2 linked regions of the Caenorhabditis elegans genome follow. The protein of the gene in region 2 purifies or fractionates together with the protein of the main gene of each other region. This does not show direct contact. Each region holds a gene or a part of one and is shown on either strand. Other genes may lie near its edges. The genes, in order: tiar-2 and pfas-1.

Region 1 (12,332 bases), on a different chromosome or scaffold from region 2:
CTTACTCTACAATACTTTCACCTCAAAACCCAAGATTTGTGAAAGAGAACAGCGCACGAAGCGGTGATTTGAAGATTGCGCCCAAAAAAGGGGGGGGGGGACATGCAATTTTCGATTTCACACTAAAGAGCCCACTTCTATAGCTTAAAGGGGTCGTAGAATTTTTTCAAAATACACGTTAAAAAGAGCTCGTCGAGTTGTATACACCCCTAAAAAATCGTGAAATAATCTCAAATATTCGAATTTTCCTTCAATTAAAACCACCAGAAAATGAGGAAAAATAGCGATTTTTGAGTTTCACTCAAAATATCTCGGCTCAATGAGCTCCTATTGAGATACGGTAAAATATAAGTTGCAGTTGAGAGATATTTTAAGCGATTAAAAAAAAAGAACTCGAATTTTCATCCATCCAGCGCCGAGCTATAAGCCGTGACAACAATCACGCATGGTTTTGGAAAAAAAGTCGCCGCTTTTTTTGACATCGCATGTCAAAAGTTTTTTCAAAAACACCTACCCGTGGCACACACGCGATTTAAGAGAGGAAAATGCAGATAAGACTAATTTTTATCAATATTTCTTTTGCTGCGACGTGAATATTAAAACAAATTATATATTTTTTTAAATTTACGTTTTGGATTTTAATTTCCAATTTTTTTCGGAAAAGTTCTAGGGAAAATTGGGAAAAAAATTGTTTTTTTTAAACATTTTTGCCAATAATTGGGCGGAGCTTAAGTTTAACGAATTCGAAAAATTCAACATTTACAGAAAAAAAAACTTACAACCTGACAAAATGACGGAATTCGAACTTCGTTCAATTTCAAAATAATTGACTTGTTTCTTTTTTCCCAACATAAATTTTCACGTTTTTTGAACCAAAAAACATTATTTCTTTTACGCCAAAATCAGGTTCCGTGAACTTTTTTTTTTAATTTTAGAACTTTTACAAGAAATGACACATGGGGTGTCCGGCAGTCCTAACACAGTTTGATCTACAAAAAATGCGGGATTTTTTTCTCAGAAAAATTGTAACGTCAGCACGCTCTTAACCCTGCGAAATCAGTTGAGAACTCTGCGTCTCTTCTCCCGCATTTTTTGTAGATCTACGCAGATCAAGCCGAAATGAGACACTCTGACACCACGTGATAATATTGGATTAAACAATCCGAATAATAGTGCGAATTGGTTGATGGGGACGAGAGAGCGTAGCCTTTCGGCTATATAGTAGGCTCTGTGCAAGAAGTGAATGAAAGTGAATGTGGATGCGTGAGAATGAGAATGATGACAAAAGGTGATTGCGAAATAGTAAAGGAAGACGAATGAGTAAGTGGCGGGTAGATCAAACGGGTAGATCAATAATAACTATCTCGGCAATTCGGCGCCACTTTTAAACCAACTTTGGCCACTTTCTAACTGCCATTAGATATCAGCCACTTTCCAACCAACTTTCGCCAACTTTTGCCACATTTGTAAATGGAAGTGGCTCAAGTTGGTTGAGCAGTGGCGCCGATTTACCGAGTAGACGAGCGCACGTGCTCGCTGGCTGTCTCGAAATTCACGTTTTCTCGCGGACGAGAAAACTTGAGAAATGTGAGAAAATGGCCTAGAAAATCCTGGAAGAGGAGAATTCCTCGTCCACAGCCAAAATAGCGTGTGAAAGAAGAGACGCAGACGGCAAAACGGTTTTTCTTGGCGTTTTTCACGTCCAGAGAAAAAAGTAGTATCTGCGTCTCTCACGCCCAATGGATAGCGAGAGTTGGCGCCAACGTGAATTCTCAATGAGGCGCATTTGCTTCAAAATTATGCAAAAGGACAGCCAGCGACCACGTGCGAGCGCTCTCGTGGTTGCTACAGCTACCGCGGTGGATCCGCGACACACAAAAACTATTACGGAGCCATCAGATCATGAAAATACGTTATATAGCTAGTATTTTTTTTCAATTATGTCTAAGCATTTTTACAGTTCATTCAATTTACAAGAAAAAACATGAATTTCAAACAGTTCCCCAGTTGGACTTTACATCGTTGATTGTCTCGTTATCGTCAGCCGAACGCTCCTCCATCTTTACTTCTGCAAAAAAAAACATTTTTAAGCAGCCGACAAAATCGAGGTGAGCGAATGCAGACAAAATTCGACTATTGCAATCGAGTGCCATCCTGGTGGACACATCGGCGAAAAATATCGAAGGCCCGCACCCTAACATGGCTGATGTGGAACCCACCTTTGATTTCTCTTTTGAGAAGTCTATTAGCATCTCCAGATCCTCCACTACCTCCGCCGGAACCGCCAGACTTGTTAACCAAGTTGGCTCCAGCCGGAGCCGGTGCTCCACTGGATTTTCGATCGAAGCCACGTGGCTTCAGTTTTGCCGCTTCGTTCTTCTCTTTCTTGCACGAGACGAGAATCGACGCGAGCACGGTGATGGATATGAGGAGTTCAATAAGCATTTTTTCAAATTGTCACGTGTTTGAGCGTATCCTGGAAATTGTCATTATTTCACAGATCGACTTTTCCGCACAGGTCCGGAAAATTGAAAACTAGGATCTTTTTCTCTCAAGATTTCGATCGAAAAATCTCTAAAAAGTCTGTCAATCGCAGGCCCGAGTTTTGAACGATTGAGAAAACTAGGCCATCGATTGTTTCGCTAGGCCGCGCTGTAAATGCCCGCCGGCAGGAAAGCATAAAACTAGGCCACCTATGTTTTTTTTCTAGCGGCCACCCAGCACATATATATATATATATATTTAAATTAACTCACACTTTGATAAAAATGGTTTATAACGCCGTCGGTTAGATTGTTCGAAATAACTAATTTTTGGCTAATTTTTATCGATTTTTTTTTCTGTTGCCCCTTGTACATTAAAACACATTATATTTTTTAAAAAAGGTTCACGTCTTGGATTTTAATTCCCAATTTTTTCCGGAAAATTTGCAGAGAAGATTGAAAAAAAAAATTTTTTTTTGAGATTTTGTGCCAATAAGTGGGGGGAGCTTAAGTTAAGGAGCTTAAATTCGAAATACTATTTATCTAATTTCGAATAAACAAACAAACAAATTTTTTTTTTGTGATTTTTTGAAATTTTCCGGCTCCATGAACATTTATTTATTTCATAAATAATAACTTTTACAATAAAAAAATGACAGGAAGTAAATAACATAGGACATTTTTATATTAGACAATTTTTCTGTTGCAAAAAAAAAATAGAAACGCGTGGAATTCAGGGGGGTGGGGAAGAAAAAAAAATCAATAAATTAAGGCAGATGAAAATATACAAAAAAAACGGGGAAATTGGGTGAAAAATAATTAAAAATGGATTTCTAATTCGTTAAAAAATGCAATTTTCTTGGGGAGAGGACAAATACAAAACAAAAAAATTCCGGAATTTTCAAAACATAAATTGCAAATTCACAGAACTCAGCAATATATTTAGTTAAACTGAAGCAAAAGATGTTTGGAAAAAATTTTAAATTTCCGAAAAATTCAAAAAATTGAAAAAAAAAAATTGTTGAATTAAGAAAAATTAAATTTTGTTTTCTTAAAAAAATACAGGAAAATAATTATTTTTGTATTAAATAACTATTTAAAAAATTCCAAAAATCCGCTCAATTTTCTGCATTTTTTTTCAGAAAAACAGGAATTTTACCAGTTTTTTTTGGGAAAAAAATGCTCAGAATTTCCAAAACAGGAAAAAATCAAGAAAATAGGAAATTTCAATGTTACTCAAAAAATGATTTTTAAAGTTTTATTGAATTTTTTTCCACAAAATGTGCTCAATTTTTGCTGGAAAAACAGGAAAATGATTATTTTTGTATTAAATAACTATTTGAAAAATTCAAAAAAAAAATCAGCTAAATTTTGTCCAATTTTTTTCCAGAAAAACTGGAATGTTACCATGTTTTTTTGGAATTTTTTTTTCAAAACTTCCAAAAACAGTAAAAATAAAGAAATTTGATTTTTTAAAGAATTATTTTTCCACAAAATGTGCTCAGTTCCCTCCAAATTTCTAGAAAAACTGGAATTTTACAAGTTTTTTTTTTTTTGGAAAAAGATCTTGCTGAAATTTAATTAATTAACAAAATAAGAAACGAATTATCTCAGAAAATTGATTTTTTAAAGAATTTTTTCCATAAAATGAGCTCAATTTTCTCCAATTTTTCAGAAAAAAAATTCACAAAATTTCCAAAAACAGCAACAAAAAAATTAAGAAAATTGGAAATTTCCAAATTTCCAAAAACAGCAAAAAAAAAATAATTTTTTCACAAAATGTGCTCTCAATTTCCTCCAGTAGATGAAGCTGCTGCAGCTGGTGGTGGTGGTGGTCCATCCTTTTGCCAATAATTATTCCATTGTTGCATCAAATGTGGATTATTGTAGTATTGCGAATAGTACTGCCAATATTGATTATTTTGGCCTCCACTTCCGCCTCCAGAACCACCATTTCCAGATGGTGGGGGTCGTTGATTAAAATTCGAAAATTGCGAATTTCCGGGTCCTCCGCTGCCGCCGCCGCCACCGCTGTTACCGTAACCGTAACCGTAGTTGCCACTGCCGCCACCACCGCCGGATCCTCGCTCGGATGGCTTTCCAGACTGAAATAAAATTAATTAGGTGACTTTTTGAGAAAAAATAGAAAATTTTTTTGAAAATTCAAATTTTAAAAAGGGTTTTATAAGGAAAATTTAAGAATATTTTTTCTTAAAAAAAAAAGCAATTTTTGCCAAAAAAATTGGTTTATTTCAGTTTTTTCTGAATTTTTCGGTTTTCAACAAAAAAACTGAAATTTCCAGCTTTCCGGAAAATTGGCAAATTACCGGAATTGAAATTTCCGGAAAATTGCAGGAATTGAAATTTCGGGCAAGTAGGTAAATTGCCGGAATTGAAATTTTCGGCAAATTGGCAAATTACCGGAATTGAAATTTCTGGCAAAACGGAAAGCTGGAAATTTCAGTTGTTTTTTGTCAAAATCTGTGGTTTTTTTGGATTGAAAATTCAGGTTTAAACAGAAATTTTTAATGAATTTTTCAATGTCTAAATAATTTTTAGCATTTTTTTCTTGAAAATTCAAAATTTTCCCGATTTTCGAGTAAAAAATGAATTTTTTAGAGAAAAAACTCTACAAAGAAGCTGCAAAAATAGAATTTTTAGTAATAAAAAAATTCCTAAAATTCCTAAGCTATATTTTTGATTTAAAAAATTGAAACCAGTATAATTTTTTAGAAATTTTTTATTTTTTTAAAAATAATTATTAGTTAATTTTTTAAATTCCAGTGTGTAGCTTTTTCTCGAAATTTTTAAATTTTTTTTTTCGAAAAATTAAGTAAATTTGTGATTTTTTTAATCCAATTTTTTTTTGAATTTTTTGGAATTTTCATTCTAAAAAATTCTGAAATAAAAGTTTAATTAAATTAAATTAAATTAAATTAATTTAAAATTTAACGGGATTTTTGAAGAAATTTTTTTTTTTTTTTTTTAATCCATTTTGGGTGATTTTTTGGGCATTTTTTTCTTCATTTCACCGAAAAAACCACGAACATCTCCACTTTTTCCCCAACTGCATCGAACAATTTGTCCTCCAATATCTGCATTATTCATCTGTACAATCGCCCGTGCCGCTGATTCTTTAGTCTCAAATTTCACAAATGCGTATCCCTGAATTTTGAATGTTCGTACTTCGTTGATTGGTCCGAAACGGTCAAAAGCTCGGCGAATTTCGTCTTCTGCAAAAAAAAAATAATTAATTTGGAGGATTTGTGGTGAATTTTTGGGGAATTTTTTCGACGGAAATTCTAGCAGCAAAAGTGCGGCAAATTTTTTGTCGACAAATTCGGCAAATCGGCAAATTGCCGGTTTGCCGAAATTTTTTTCAGTTCCGGTAATTTGCCGGTTTGCCGGAAATTTCAATTCCGGCAATTTTCCGATTTCCGGTTTGCCGGAAATTTTCAATTCCGGCAATTTTCCGGTTTGCCGATCTTCTAGAATACCTAGATTCCGGCAATTTTTCGATTTGCCGGAAATTTTCAATTCCGGCAATTTTTTCGATTTGACGCAAATTTTCAATTCCGCAATTTGCCGATTTAGGAAAGTTTTTTTTGTAAATATGAATCGGGGTAAACGATTTCTTCCGACAAATCGGCAAATTTCCGGAATTAAAAATTTCTGGCAAATCGGCAATTTGTCAAAAACGAAAATATCCGACAAACCGGCAAACCGGCATGATGCCGGATCTGAAAATTTCCGATAAATCGGCAAATTACCGGAAATGTTTAATTCCGGCAAATCGGTAAACCGGCAAATAGCCGGAATTGAAAATTTCCGGCAAATCAACAAATTGCCGGAATTGAGACTTTCCAGAAAATCGGCAAACCGGCGAATTGTCGGATTTGAAATTTTCGGCAAATCGGCAATTTGCCGAAAAAGAAAATTTCCGGCGAATCGGAAAATTGCCGAAAATGAAAACTTTCGGCAAATCGGAAAATTGCCGGAATTGAAAATTTCCGGCAAATCGGCAAATTGCCGGAATTGAAAATTTGCGGCAAATCGGCAAATTTCCGGAATTGAAATTTTCCGGCAAATCGGCAAATTTCCGGAATTGAAAATTCCCGGCAAACCGGAAAATTGCCGGAATTGAAAATTTCCGGCAAATCGGCAAATTGCCGCAATTGAAAATTTCCGGCAAATCGGCAAATTTCCGGAATTGAAATTTTCCGGCAAACCGGAAAATTGCCGGAATTGAAAATTTCCGGCAAATCCAAAAATTGCCGGAATTGAAATTTGCCGATTTTTCGACTAAAAAAATTGCCAATTTTACCTAAATTTTTTTGATTTTTTTTTGTAATTTTTAACAAAAAAAATACGCAAATTTTAAGTTTTTTTTGAAAATTTTTTTGAAAATTTCTGAAAACGAACCCCCAAGATTGGCAATATTTCCGACATAAACCGATGTATTATCAGCAGCAGCTTGATTAAAAATCTCATCATAAGTCTTTTCCGATTGATTATGATAACGATCTCTTCCACCGCCACCTCCACCTCTTCTATCACCACGATCACCACCACGTTCACCATCTTCATCAGGCTTCCGGGTGGCCCAGTTTGTTCGAATAGTCCGTCGGCCAAGCCATGCTCCATTCATCTCATCTATAGCTCTTTCGGCATCTTCTCGACGGGGGTATGATACGAATCCGTAGCCTTTTCCCTTGTTCGTATTGTTATCTGCAAAAAAAAATATTTAAAAATTGGTTGAAATTTAGACATTTTAAGGGAAAAAAAACGAAAAAATAGGGCCCACCAATTAGCGTTTTGCTCCGCCCACTTCCCAACCAATCGGGTTGAGTGGGGGGGGGGGGGGGGGGGCGGAGTCGAAGACGCTGATTGGTCGTACAGTTTTCACTTTTTTTTTCGTTTTTCCTTAAAAAGGAGAGAAATTCAAAAAAATTCAAAAATTGAGATTAAAATTTGGAGAAATTCGGCAAATCGGCAAATTGCCGGAAATTTTTAATTCCGTCAGTTTTCCTATTTTCCGGCAATTTCAATTCCAACAATTTGCCGATTTGTCAAAATTTTTGAATTCCGGCAATTTTCCTATTTTCCGGCAATTTTTGGATTTGCCAGAAATTTTCAATTCCGGCAATTTGCATTTGCCGGAAATTTTCAATTCCGGAAAATTGCCGGTTTGCCGAAATTTTGAATTCCAGCAACTTGCCAATTTGCCGGAAATTTTCAATTCCGGCAATTTGCCAGAAGTTTTCAATTCCGACAATTTGCCGGTTTGCCGGAAATTTTGAATTCCAGCAACTTGCCGATTTGCCTATTTTCCAGAAGTTTTCAATTCCGGCAAATTGTCGGTTTGCCGGAAATTTAGAATTCCAGCAATTTGCCGATTTTCCAGAAGTTTTCAATTCCGGCAATATGCCGATTTGCCGGAAATTTCAATTCCGGCAATTTGTCGAACCAATTTTCTTTTAAAATGTTTTTTCCGTAATTTTCTATAATCAAATTAGTCGAAAAATATTGATTTTTCCAGAATTTTCAATTTTTTTTTCAAATTAAAAAAAATTACCGCGAATAATTTTCGCCTCAGAAACTTCTCCGAACTTAACAAAAGCTTCACGGAGCTTTGTCGAATCAATTTCGGAGCACAAATCGCCGACGAAAACGTGAAAATGTCGAGAAGTTTCGGGTTTTGAGCGGTTTTCGCCCGGCTCGCGGGGCTCGAATGCCCACGTTACGTGCATTTCCTGAAACATTTTTTTGAAATTCTGTTGCAATTAGTTTAATTTTCAGATTTTCCCGGATTTTCCCGGGATTTTTAAGCCAAAAATTTCACTTTTTCCAGCAGCTCCCGCCCGTTGTGGCTCTGTAAAGCCAGCGTAGCCTGATTATGATCGGAAAACTCCACGAAAGCGTACGGATCGTTGAGTCCCTGCAATATTTATCTGTTTAAGACCCGGAATTTCGATGAAAAATCACTTCAAAAATAATTTTTGCCTTCATAACGGCGCCAATTTGATTGAAAAGCGTCGCGAGAAACTCGTCGGTTATCGCCGGATCCAGATTTGCAACGAATCTGCAAGCATCGCGGGTTTTTTATTATATTTTTTAATCTTCTTGCGAAAAAAAAATCCTACAAAGTTCTCGGGTCCTCGGAGCCAGAAGCCAGCTGAAAACCCTCTCGTTCGGCGATTCTCGCGTGCACACGGGGATTGAAGCCGTCTCCGTCTTCGCCACCTCCCGTGTAGAACGAAGTGGCCATTTTTTACAAAACTTTGCTGAAAAACGCGAAAAACTCGATAAAAATCCGGTAAAAACAAATAAAAACCAAAAATTAAATAAATAAATTCAAATTGTGCCGTAGAGCGCGCTTGCAATGTTTCAAAAAAACTTGTTTTTTAAAAATCTATTTTTTCCCTTTCTTTTCAACTTTTTAATCTTAAATTTAGTTATTTTTATTTATTTAATAAAGTTTTAGCCATTACTATCATTTTTCAATAAAAATTGCGAAATTTCTTATCACAATTTCCGATATAAATTCACTTAAAATCGATGAATCATGATTAATCATCAGTTGTCCGGTGGAGCGCACTTGCATACCCTTATATTTGCATTGATTTCCTCATTTTAAGAACAATTTCTAATCAATTTTCAATGAATTATTTTGATTTTTATTGTTATTTAGTGCTTTTAGAAAATTTTCCCGCTCTGGAACTCTATTTTTCTCTCATTTCTCACCCAGAAATCAATATTTTATCGGCTGTTACGAAATATTCCACTTTTCAGATGGATTTCCTGTTCGGACGCCGCAAGACGCCAGCCGAGCTTCTTCGACAGAATCAGAGGGCTCTGAACAAGGTAAATTATTGAAAAAACTGAGAAAATGAACTGAAAATCATGAAAAATTCAAACTTTCAGGCCATCCGAGAGCTGGACCGCGAGAGAGCTCGTATGGAGGCTCAGGAGAAGAAGGTTATCGCGGATATCAAGAATATGGCAAAGAAGAATCAAATGGACTCTGTAAAAGTGATGGCCAAGGATCTGGTGCGAACTCGTCGTTATATCAAGAAATTTATCGTTATGAAGGCAAATATTCAGGTAAAATCACGGAAATTGAATTAAAATAAAACAAAAATCTCTAAATCTCTTCAGGCGGTCTCCCTGAAAGTTCAAACCCTGAAATCGCAAGATGCGATGGCGTCGGCGATGAAAGGAGTGACAAAAGCGATGCAATCGATGAATCGGCAGCTGAATCTTCCACAAATCCAGAAAATTATGATGGAATTCGAGAAACAGAGCGAAATCATGGATATGAAGGAGGAGGTGATGGGCGACGCGATCGATGATGCTCTTGGAGACGCCGGCGATGAGGAGGAGACCGATCAGATCGTTAATCAGGTAAAAAAGCGAGAAAAACGCGAATTTTGGCTTAAAAAACTCATCATATAAATGTTTTTTTTTCTCAGGTTCTCGACGAGTTAGGCATACAAATGGGCGAAGAAATGGCCGGGCTCCCGTCGGCGGCCGGTGGACTCAATGCTGGTGGAGAACGGATCGGCGGTCGCCAAGCTGTTGCAGCTGGAGGTAGCGGTGGAGCTCATCATGGAGCCGGTGGAGCCGGTGGTGGAAATGATGTTGACGATGATCTTCAGGCCCGTCTTGATCAGCTTAGAAGAGAATGATTCTGTTTCTGATTTTTCATTTCTTGTAAATTTATGTGTATTTATTCGATTTTTTCCTCAATTTTTCGCCGAAAAATCCACAAAAAAAATGTATGGCAAGCAATTTATTGTCGAGAAAGCACAGCATGGGAATCAATTTTTTTTTAATTCGAGAAAAATAATTTTAAGATAGTCTACACTGCAGTCGTAGTTGGGAAGAATCGGCGAATCGTCTCGTCTCTCTCGTATCTCTCCTTGATATGCACTATTTCTTCGAGTGGAGCCGCCGATGGTCTCGCCTGGAAAACAAATTTTGTTGGAAAATCGATAGTTTGAGGGGGGGGTGGTTACTGTACCTTGGAGCTGCTGCTGGACTTGTTGGGGGAATTTGTTCTGAAAATGGGAAAATTATCGATTTTTCGGAAGAATTTTTCTCCGGAATTAATGGGATTTCTAGCTTCCCTCATAAATTGAAATGGAAGAGTTTTCCGAACTAGGCCAATTTGGCTGGGGCATATCTGGGGTAGATTTACGGCGCGTTGCGTGTTGCGTCGCGGCTCGATTTTAGTTTTAAAACTAAATGATTGTCAATAGAGCGCGAAAAATTCAATGAGGAAGGCCAGAACCCCGTGGCCGGAATCAGAAAAATTTTAGAAAATATCGATTTTTCTTTGAAATTATCGATTAATTCATCGAAAAATATCGATTTTCTCACCTTCCAGACGGGCGTCTCTTTGGCGAAGACGGGCGGTGCGATTGTTGGTAGGCTCTGCAAAAAAATCGATAAAACTTCAATTTTCAGGTATAATTTACCGTTCTTTCTCTGGATTATTGTATGGAATGTGCACTTCAGATGGGGTATGTGGGGTACTGACACCACGTGATAGGTACCTTGACTTCTCCACCCTGTCGCTTGGCGTTTTTGAGATTCCTCGGGTGTAATGTAGCTCGGGGGTCTCCGAATTGCGGGGTAACCTGGATTTACTACTATAGGACTACTGTATAAAAAAAAACTTACGACTTTTCTGATGGGGTCACCGATTTGTGGGATCTATAAGACGACCGCTCGGATTGCTGATAGGCTCTGAAATTTGGATTACTGTAGGGTTACGGTAGGTTTTGCTACTGTACCTCTCTTTTTCAGGGTTATTGTAAGGAATGTGAATATCCGAGCACGGAGTTCTAGAAAAATTTGGTTTTTTTTTTAAATTTTTGGAAATCTACCCTACCTCTCCGACCTGGAATCCTGATTGCTAGGAGTCTTGGAAATTCCCCTGAAAAATTATCGAGGTTTGCCGAAAGCTCCCCGAGTTAAAAAAAAATTACCTGGTATACGGTAAGTCCTCCTCCCTAGCCTGATGATCCCCCGGAAATCGGTTCTGCTGACTTTTATCCGCGAATCTGGAATTTTCGATAATTTTATCAGCAACTGAGCTCGGCAGTTTCAATCACCTTCCATAATCCAGCTCCTCCGGGCTTTGGCGTTTTGCAATCGGGCTGAAAATTTTTTTTTTAATTTTTAGAAATTTCTCAAAGCCTACCGAGTATGTGTAGTTGTCACCGGGATACGGACCTCTGATGGGCTTCTGCAAAAAAAAACCGAGAAATTGTATGAACTAGTAGCTCGCCTAGGCCTAATCCTAAGCCTGTGCCTAAGCGTGAGCCTAACTCTAACTAGGGAACCCCGTAAATACTTGGTGGATGGCATCAACAAAAAGTATACTAATCGAAAGTTTATGTTAAGCCTGAGCCAGAGCCTAAATCTAAGCTTAAACCGAAGCCTAAGCCTAAGCCTAAGCCAAAACCAAAACCTAAGCCTCATCCTAAGCCCAAGCCCAAGCCTATGCCAAAGCCTAAGACTAAGCCTGAGACTAAGCCTGAGCCTTATCCTAAGCCTAAGCCTAAACCGAGGCCTACGCCTAAGCAGAAACCGAAGCTAAGAACGGATCGACCGTACCTTTCAGATCTATGAGACCTGCTTGGCGATCTCTGACCTTCCCGCTTCACATTGTATTCTCGAACACTCGGAGTCTTGGAGATCCCTCTGAAAAGTCTTTCTATACAAATGTGTGCCCAGATATTTTGTCACCTAGTATATGGAAGTTCAGGGGTCTCGGAATGAACATGATGACGATGGTGGTGACGTGGTTCGCTGCAAAAAAAATTATGATTAAAAATGTGC
Region 2 (9,528 bases):
TTTCCCAAATATTTAGTGATTCATATAACAATAACCATTCTTATTTTCATAATTCTTTGTTTGTGTCCCGCTTCTTTTTATTATTCTTTAGCAGTTATTTGTTCAGGATTTCTCATGTCTTTCGTATAAATTATATTCTTCACAGTTTTGGATTCTAAAATGAAAGTGTCTGGTAATACTTTAGTTCTTTCGATTTATTCTCGTTTTATTCTTTTGATCACGTTAAGCTATGCTGTAAGTTTTCTTTTTTAAAGATATTCTGTATGAAGCGGGATAGAATTGTTTTGAATTTTTTAAAATATTTTTGAATTTTTTCTCATTTATCAACGCGACTCCTATAAAAGTTCACTAAATTAAAAAAGTCTTATTTGTTCAGTGTCCTCCAAGTCTTGATAGTTTGAATCTTCCACCACCAGTAATTCATAGAGAATGCCTAACAAGAAACAGCTGCCAAAATGGATATATCTGCCGATTGAATAGATGTGTTGGTGGAAGAGCATTGGCAAGTAAAACTAAATATGTGAATGAAGAGGTAGGTTCTTTTCTAGTTTTATTGAAACTATGAGAAAATTCTGTTTTGAAATATGTATTTAAAATATTTTTCGGAATTTACGGAGTTTTGTTGTTTCTCTATTGTTTAACTTTGGCAATAATCTGCTTTTGAATAATTTCAAAAAATCCAACTTCTTCAAGATTTTTTCTTCAAAAATATTCAAAAAAAAATCTCATGAAAATTAAATAATCCCACTTCAAAATTCAGGAATCCGAGTACTCGTTAAAAATGGAACAATGTTGTGTGGATAATTTACTTCCGGAGAGATGCATGGGATTCTGCTCATTTGAGACTTATAATGAATCTTCCATCTTTCGACTGCTCGCGGAGCCCAGAAGATGTCCAAGTTCATCACTTAGAACTATTCATTTTTGTGCATCTATGAATATGGATCACACAGAATGCTGTGAACAGGCACGTTCGAAAATGTATTTATTTCAATAGAAAAGTTGATTCAAGAAACTCGCACAAATTTATCTCGATAATTCAAGATAAAATTTTTGAAGGTTTTCTGTACAGCTGTAAAGTTATCTGAAACTGCAAAGTTCTTTAATAATTTGTCGGAAACATTGTTGAAATTTCCTTTTCACAGTTGCCAATTTTGTTTGCCAAAATTTGGATATTTAGAAAATTAATTTAACAATTATTCAGCAAATTAACAATTGTTGACTAACATATTCAATTTATTTAAAAACTTTAGTTTTTTCCGTATAGCAAAGTAATAGTACAGCATATCCAATAAATCGGTTTTATTCATCAAATTTTAAATTTTTTGCAGAGTCGTATACCATCAAATTGTGTGGATCTATGTGCTCCTTCTGATTCGGAAGTTCGATTTGATGAATCAAAACTTCATTGTCTTCACTATCTTCCAATAATGAAAGAATGTTTTCAATCAAATTAAAATTAATAAATAATCCCTATTTCCTTGTTTCTTAACCACTTAATGCTCATTGAACCTATTAAACACTGTCGACTCCGGCATCCTGTCAAATCGAAACACAAACAAACACATTCGCATTGATCTACCGGAAGAGATCCGGGCGATTTGTTGGCATGGCTATATAATGTGTGCAATTCAAACATTCAATTCAATATCACATTTTGATATGAACATAAAGTATTTCACTTTTCTTGTTGCTTCCGTACTTTGCGAGTTCAACCTTACAGAGACGTTGGCTAAAAATGGTAGGTTTACCGGTTTTGTCTTTGGTTTTTAATCTTTTGCATTTTTAAAAAAAATTTTTAACAGTATCATAAAATAACTGCAATATTCTCAAATATTTTCTTTAACATTTTGTTGAGAAACTTGCCAACTTTGAATAATCGTTTCGGTTTTTGAAACGAAACATCATTTTCCAATTATGCAATTTTTAAACTGTTCCCTCCGAATTTTTTTAAATTCAGCTCATAACATCTTAGGTCCCACCACAAAAGATGACAAGTTACTGTAAATATCTCAGAAAAAAAAAAATTAAAATTCGCACAAATGAATCAGCCTACAATGAATCTATACATTTTCCAGAAAGTTCACCTCTTGTGGATCTTTCGAAAGTTGCCCGCGACCAAGGAGCAATTGTAGTCGCCGCATTTCCAGCAGTATCTACAATTAAAGCAAAAAGTAAGAAAAAATTTGGACTGGGAGCTTTTGAAAGGGGATATACAAACACTGGTGCGACTTTTTCAAGAAGAGGCAGAAGTGGAGCTTCAACTGGAAATCCTTATGCATCGTGAGTTTAACTTTTTTGAAGGAAAACGTTTGCAATATATAAACTTGTTCCAGTGGATATCAAGGGCTCCCTGAATCACAAAGCAGTCTGCCAGGAGATCGTGTAGGTGGAATGACCAGAACTGGAAAGAGAACTTTTGGAAGTTATGGTAAGAAATATATTATTTTAAAATCAAACATTCATACTTATTCCAGGAAGCGTCGACACTGCAAAAGGTCAATCCTCGGCTCATAGAGCAGGAACCGGTTCAGGATGGAGAGGATCTTCTCGGAATGACGGAGAGAATGACGATTGGAATAATGGAGATCAGAACAATAATAACAATTTCAACTCTAAAAACAATCGAATGAACAAATATGGAAATAGAAACGATGGAGATGATTATAATGGAAATGGGAATAATCAAGACAATTGGAATTCGGGATCAAATTCTGGAGGGTACAATGGTGGTGGTGGAGGATCTGGAGGAGGATCTAATTGGAATAATGGTGAATTTTCAATTTTTCCGATACATTATATTTCATGAGCAAGCTTAGACATCTTATGATAATGCTCGAAACACGGAAAATATATCTTTCTTTTCAAGTCGCCTAATGTAAGCCTATCTTTCTAAGCTAGAAAACACTTCTAATTTTCTAATAGACCGCCTGTTTTTCTTTATACAGTTTTCTTGTTCATGGGTTTAAGAATCTACTGACGCTATTTTAGAAAAATTTCAATTCTGTAATTTGTTTCAGGAGACAACGAAAATGACGGCTGGAATAATAACAACAACAATCGAAAGAGCAACAACAATAATAATAATAACTATGGTAATTCATGGGGTACAAATGACAACGATGGAAATTCTTGGAAAGGATCTGGAAACAGCAATGGAAACTCTGATAATTGGGGTGGATCCTCGGGAAGTGGTTCAAATGGAGGAAATGATGGAGATTCTAATTATGGAAATGAAGGATCATGGAAGCCAAGTGGAAATAGTTATGGAAGAAATCGAGGTGGAGGAAATGAAGGTGGTGATCAATGGGGAAGTAACAATAATGGAGGAGATAATTATGGATCTGAGTTGAGCAACAATTGGGGTGGATCTAATGGTGGATCAGGATCAAATGGAGGTTCTGGAGGAGGAAATACTGATAATGATAACTGGGGAAGCAATAATGGCAATTCTGGAGGATCATGGGGAAATGGTGGAACTGGAGGATCTGGAGGCTCTGGAGGTGGAAACTGGGGAGACAATGATAACTATGGCAGTAGCAACAAATGGAATGGAAATGGAAATCAGGATAATGACAATGATAACTTTGGAGGAGGATACAGTAAGAATGGATACGGTAGCAATAACAATAGAAACGACGGATGGGGATCTTCTAGTAGCAATAATAACAATAATAATAATAATAATAATAATGGAGGAACTGGAGGATACAGTAACAACGGAGGAGGATGGGGTAGCAATAATAATAATAATGGAAATGATGGAAACAATTGGGAATCCAATAATGGAGGAAATGGCGGTGGTGGTGATAACTGGAATAATGGAAACAGTGGCAACAATGGAAATAATAATGGTAATGGAGATGAAGATTATGGAGATTGGTACAATATGAAGATGAAAGATCCATCTGTAGCTGAAGATTCAACGACTAAAACACCTGAAGTTGAGAAGAAGATTGCCGAGTTATTGAGTATGGATACATATCGGAAGATGTAAAGATTTCCTGGGTTTCTGTTGTTTTAACTTATATTATTGATTAACTTATTGCAATAAATTCATATTATTATTCATATTCATATATTCATACTATTATTGTTACATCTAAAACATAACTTCTCTTTACAACACTGTTGGGAATTCATTGCATACATTCTTTTATTTTTTATAACTTTTCATATACATATGTACAACAGAAAATGCGGAAAAGTGTTGAAAAATAGACTCAAACAAATTTTTACAGAAAAAATAATTCTCTTGAAAATCAAAAAATTTAACAAAGTTCTTTAACTGTTAGGTATTAAAATATGTACTGCAGTTTTAAGACATCCCCCCATTGGCATTCTTTTGTCTTCTTTTGTTTTTTTTTCATGATTTCCAGATAGTAAATGCCCAAGAAACATCCAAAAACTAAATACTTTGTTCTTGAAAATTTTGCAACATTAGAATACTATCAGGCAAACATTTTTTCTTATCACTACTGAAAAATATCAATTACCTGTCTATTCTCAACCTTGTTATGCTTCACAATGTCAACGACACCACTGAAAAACACATAAAAACAGTAAATTGCAATTCTTATCAGCTCTTTGAATTGATTTTTGAAAACATTTGTAGATTCTCATTCTCTGTTCGGTTTTCATTCTTAATTTTTCTATAATACATATCTGTCTGAAAACCAAATCAGTTTTCAGGAACTAAAACATTTGGTAAGCATGACTAAGTTTCATGTTAAGCTTTACGCGAAAGCGGTTGAGTCAAGAAAATTGGATCAGATTCAAAAAGATTTTGAGAAGAAGTTCAATCGAAAAATTGATGTTTCTGTCGAGTATTGCTACCATGTTATTACTCAAGAGGTAAGGAAAATATCTTGTTCTATATTTAAAAATGTTTGTCGTGTCGAGACCGGGTACCATAGTTTTGTGGCATAAATTGTACAATTTTTAACGATTTTTTAAATATCGAAGATTGAAAAATAGCCGTTCTGATCTTTTGAACTCAAACACGTGAATTTTAACACGAACTTTACTGCCGCATATGCGACGTAACATCTTTCCGTGGGAGCCAGAATACGTAAATTTCCGAAAACGATTTCAGCCGGAGCTCATTTCCTCCAACTGGGAAAAGCTTGTTACTTTATTATCTCATTCTCCATTTGAAACCTCTGTTTGGAAAGAATCGCAACTACATCCGGAACACGGAAAAAATATTGAAATCGGCCCTCGAACAGCTGTGAAAACAGCTGCTTGCACAAACATCCTTAGCATTTTCGAAAGTTCTGGTATCAAGAATGTGGAGAGAATTGAACGAGGAATTCGGTATTTGGTGGAAGATGATGTGGATGTTAATGAGTTTTTTGAAATTGCTGCGGACAAAATGACAGGTGAATTATTGAGAACTCTACAAAAAATTGAAGATTAATATTCAGAAGCAATTTATGGAAATGATGTGAAGTTTGACGATGAGAGTCATCAGATAGAAAAAGTATTTCTGATTGATGTCTTGGAATCAAAACAGAACTTGATTAAGGTAGTTTTAAAGTGAATGAATTGTGTTAAAGTTGAAAGTTTCAGGCAAATGAAGAACTGGGGTTGGCTTTGGATCAATTGGATCTTGATTTTTATTACGATTTTTTTGTGAACAAAGTCAAAAAGTAAGGAGGCTTGTGAACTAGTACTCGATTTTCAAAAGGACTCTGAACTGACACTTTAATATTTCTGGAAAAATTTGAAATATGAGTTCTAATGTTTCAGAAACCCCACAGACGTTGAACTTTTTGATTTGGCTCAATCGGACTCTGAGCATTCTCGTCATTGGTTCTTCCGTGGAGAAATATGGATTGATGATCGGAAGAGAGATGGATCTTTAATGAAAACAATCAGAGAGACACTTGACAGTTCAAATGATAATAGTTTGATTGCTTTTTGCGATAATTCCAGGTATTTTTATTTTTCTTGAAAAGTTCAAGCTTGCGTGAGCAAGACATGGGCGAGTAGCGGGTGTCAGAAGGCATCTAGCGATGATCTGTCATATTTCTAGATGTTATAGTTGAAAACTTTTTGATTATCTCAGGAAAAAAATATATAAACTTTCACATTGTGGGTGAAAATGCTGGAGAATTTTCGAATTTTAAAAATTTAATTTCAGCGCAATTCGAGGATTCGAGAGTGTCTGCCGTCTTCGTCCAAACGATCCAACTACTGTATCCCCAATGATTGCCATATTTCCACCATCCCATCTCATCTACTCTGCTGAAACTCACAATTTCCCAACTGCAGTTTGTCCATTCCAGGGTGCAACAACTGGAACTGGCGGTAGAATTAGAGATATTCATGCAACTGGAAGAGGGGCATATGAGATTGCTGGTTTGTTTTTCCTTGTCCTGATAAAATTATATACTTCAGGAAATTTCAGGAACCGTTGGGTATTCCTTTGGGAATTTGAATTTACCGGGGCTTCCGTTGCCCTGGGAAGATGAGACATTCGAGTATCCCACATCGATCAGTGAACCAGCGAAGGTATTTTAAAATATATTACTAAAAATTCTGAAATTTGTTCAGATAGCCATAGAGGCTTCCAATGGAGCATCAGATTATGGTAACAAGTTCGGTGAGCCCGTGATTTCTGGATTTGCTCGATCATTTGGGCAGAGACTAGAGAACGGAGAAAGATGTGAATACTTGAAGCCAATTATGTTTTCTGGAGGAATTGGTGCAATAGGTAATAATTGTATTCATATAATATTTTTAAAACAATTCATAATTATTCAGACAAAGATGAAGTACGAAAAGAGCCATGTGCTCCTCATCAAAAAGTCGTCAAAATCGGCGGCCCCGTATACAGAATTGGAGTCGGTGGTGGAGCTGCAAGTTCAGTTTCTGTTCAAGGAAATCGTGAAAATCAGTTGGACTTTGCTGCCGTGCAACGTGGAGATGCTGAAATGGGTGGTAAACTTCATCGAGTTGTTAGAGCATGTGCAGAGAGAATTGGTGGAAATCCATTGATGGCGATACATGATCAAGGAGCTGGTGGAAACGGTTAGTTATCAATATAAGATTATAACACAAAATGTAAACAGCGATGAGAAGCTTGATTCGCATTTTAGGTTGGTTTCCTAATTGTAAAATGAATTGAAAACATTTTCAATCTTATGAACATGAAAAGATAACTCACTTTGCGGAAACTGTTCAAATATAGAAGATATTCTATATTTTCAAACTTCAAAATGGCTTTGTAAGACATGGTAAATCGGGCAATAAATATTTGCTTTCACTATTTTTACGAAATTACCGATATCATATTTAAATGTCTAAAAGAACACTTTTCATTCAATAATTACAATTTAAAACGAAACACATTAAATATCAATCAATTGTGAGAATCGGAGCTTCTCTCCCGCAAATGTAAGTAAACCGCCATTGACAAAAATGATCATTCAATTTCCTTGTTCCATTACCATTCCACCACTTCGTTTTCCCACTCATCATAACTAGGCATTCTTCATCCACAAGAGCATGATTTGGTTCATACGGAGAAGGCCAATAAGCATCCAGAAAATTTGGTGGATTCTCAGCAACATCGTGAAGCCATTCAAAGACTCGACGACGAGAACATTCACTTTCTTTATCCGAAGAGAACCCTCCACGACCCACAATTGATAAATCATTACAACGCTTTCGTCTTCTTGCACCCAGCAATACTTCAATATAATCGGTATTTGGAAGTTGTTCACTCTTAGCAATCATATCTGTAAAAGAGAGATTGTTGTACTTGAAGTTTAAATATCGATTCAAAAGTTTTTTTCTTACTGCAACCATGTCTCTTCCACACCACTACATTTACGCAGTAAAAGCCCAAGCTGTGCTCTATATATAGAAATGTTACCGCACCTACCATTTAGGAATTGAAATTCTTCATCGGACGTAAAAGAAGACAAATGAGCACCCAATTGTTGACATTTTTGTTCAGCGTTATCGTAATTCGCGGTATCATCCCATACATATTTGTGACACCAGGTTTTTCCTTCATTCTTCCGATAGTATTCCACAAATCCATCCGGACATTTTGTATAAGATAACCCCTTCACAATTTGTTCACAATAAATTGGAGCATATCGAGCATCAGACATAACTTCGAGGCCTTCGTTTTCACGTCGGCTGAAAATGTTTATGATAAAGTTAATTGTCTTTAAATTATGTAACCTCAAAACCACCGCAGAGCTCCATGTTGCTGCATCGCAAGACTCATTTGGTTCACCCTTTCGCCATATTGCATTATCGAGAGGAAAAGGTACAGCTTCGCCTTTCTGTAAAGAGATCTTCAAAAACATTTCACCTTCCATAAGCTCACATTTCCAGTCAAATAAATACGATGGTGGGGTTTTGCTTGAACGGAGCACTTTTATTTATTCCTCTCATTTGCGTTGGCATGTGCTGAAACTGATGATGTTCGAATGATACCAACATCCTGCTGTTCGAAAAGCTCTTTCACCAGCCCCTGAGTGGGAGATGCTGATTGAGCCCGTCCACCGCGAAAAACTGGTTTCATGACCTCTGTGCAATACTTGTGATCTGCCAATTTATCTTCCTCATTTCTGATTCGACTGCTCGTTGTTCTAATGTACACAGCTTCTGATGTGACAAGAGGTGGATAATAGATCTCCCCATATCTTCTGAGCAAGTAGTTGCTCTCTGATTTTGTCATTGGTGGAGTGTATTCACATAGAACCATTGCAGTTTCATCCTTAGACACACGAGCAATTGCAACATTTGGAAGATTGTATTTGTATCCATCGAATGCCAGAAGTACATTACCACCTTCAACGTCATAGATCAAATCATTAGTGACAACTTCACTTGCATCCATCCAGATACGAGAAACACGAGTGAAGTAATCTGAAATTACTCTGATAAGCTTTGCTTTGAATAGTTGAAAACAAACCATTCCATCTAAAAGGCAATGCTTCTCTGTGCATGAATGCAATTGTCGATGTCTGATCCTGTTGATTCTTGCAATGTTTTTCAGCCTTGTCACGTGTCATCATCGTCTTGGTGATCTTGTAGCACCTTCCGAACATCTGAACCCATCCACTTTTACAAATTAATGTTGCTTCTGCTTCACAGGTTGTTTTGTATTCCGATGCTTCTGCATTATTGATATGATAGGGAACATTGTCTTCACAGTACTGCTGAGCGGATTTCTGAAAGGAATAAGTACATTTATACAGCATTTAGACCCAAAAAAAACCTGATTATCGGAGGCTTTTGGAAAATTGAACGTACACTTGTCACCTTCTAACGACTGAAAAATTATAATTTTATTTTGAGTTCAATTTACACATTTTAAAACTTTTTTTGGATGTCTAACCATTGTTGTGGTTTTTTCTTCTTTTTCTTCCTATTTTCAGCCAACTATTGAAAAAAAACACTGTCAGATTTCTGTAACTAACCTTAAATCCATCTTTTCTTGCATGATAAGTTTGCTCTCCACCCCAAAAATTGCACATTTGTTGGAAACTCCAATCTCTTGCC

The links.
Region 1: the proteins of pfas-1 (region 2) and tiar-2 fractionate together in Caenorhabditis elegans (co-fractionation; one large-scale study listed by BioGRID). This does not show direct contact.

The regions. Positions count from the first base shown.
Region 1 is NC_003280.10:12,765,161-12,777,492, reverse strand, and holds tiar-2 (RRM domain-containing protein), read right to left. Parts: upstream 8,808-12,332; 5' UTR 8,752-8,807; coding exon 8,627-8,751; intron 8,566-8,626; coding exon 8,469-8,565; intron 8,422-8,468; coding exon 8,326-8,421; intron 8,237-8,325; coding exon 8,059-8,236; intron 7,212-8,058; coding exon 6,906-7,211; intron 5,717-6,905; coding exon 5,532-5,716; intron 4,589-5,531; coding exon 4,271-4,588; 3' UTR 3,079-4,270; downstream 1-3,078. Other genes in the region: Y46G5A.14 (uncharacterized protein), read right to left, coding at 1,992-2,068, 2,220-2,445; vps-2 (Charged multivesicular body protein 2a), read left to right, coding at 9,276-9,347, 9,408-9,587, 9,642-9,887, 9,956-10,171; cnp-2 (Calcineurin-interacting protein 2), read right to left, coding at 10,345-10,449, 10,507-10,543, 10,866-10,919, 10,964-11,125, 11,169-11,234, 11,282-11,332, 11,380-11,424, 11,477-11,551 and 4 more.
Region 2 is NC_003281.10:4,638,468-4,647,995, reverse strand, and holds the start of pfas-1 (putative phosphoribosylformylglycinamidine synthase), read left to right. Parts: upstream 1-4,685; 5' UTR 4,686-4,713; coding exon 4,714-4,854; intron 4,855-5,095; coding exon 5,096-5,381; intron 5,382-5,426; coding exon 5,427-5,527; intron 5,528-5,571; coding exon 5,572-5,651; intron 5,652-5,751; coding exon 5,752-5,937; intron 5,938-6,145; coding exon 6,146-6,363; intron 6,364-6,412; coding exon 6,413-6,516; intron 6,517-6,558; coding exon 6,559-6,718; intron 6,719-6,768; coding exon 6,769-7,035; intron 7,036-7,433; coding exon of another isoform or gene 7,434-7,745; intron 7,746-7,891; coding exon of another isoform or gene 7,892-8,154; intron 8,155-8,199; coding exon of another isoform or gene 8,200-8,303; intron 8,304-8,347; coding exon of another isoform or gene 8,348-8,892; intron 8,893-8,938; coding exon of another isoform or gene 8,939-9,197; intron 9,198-9,244; coding exon of another isoform or gene 9,245-9,298; intron 9,299-9,446; coding exon of another isoform or gene 9,447-9,528. Other genes in the region: dbd-10 (DB domain-containing protein), read left to right, coding at 160-234, 377-532, 761-967, 1,332-1,457; pqn-29 (Prion-like-(Q/N-rich)-domain-bearing protein), read left to right, coding at 1,663-1,741, 2,079-2,283, 2,337-2,431, 2,478-2,771, 3,021-3,997. UniProt on the Caenorhabditis elegans protein: Phosphoribosylformylglycinamidine synthase involved in the purines biosynthetic pathway. Catalyzes the ATP-dependent conversion of formylglycinamide ribonucleotide (FGAR) and glutamine to yield formylglycinamidine ribonucleotide (FGAM) and glutamate.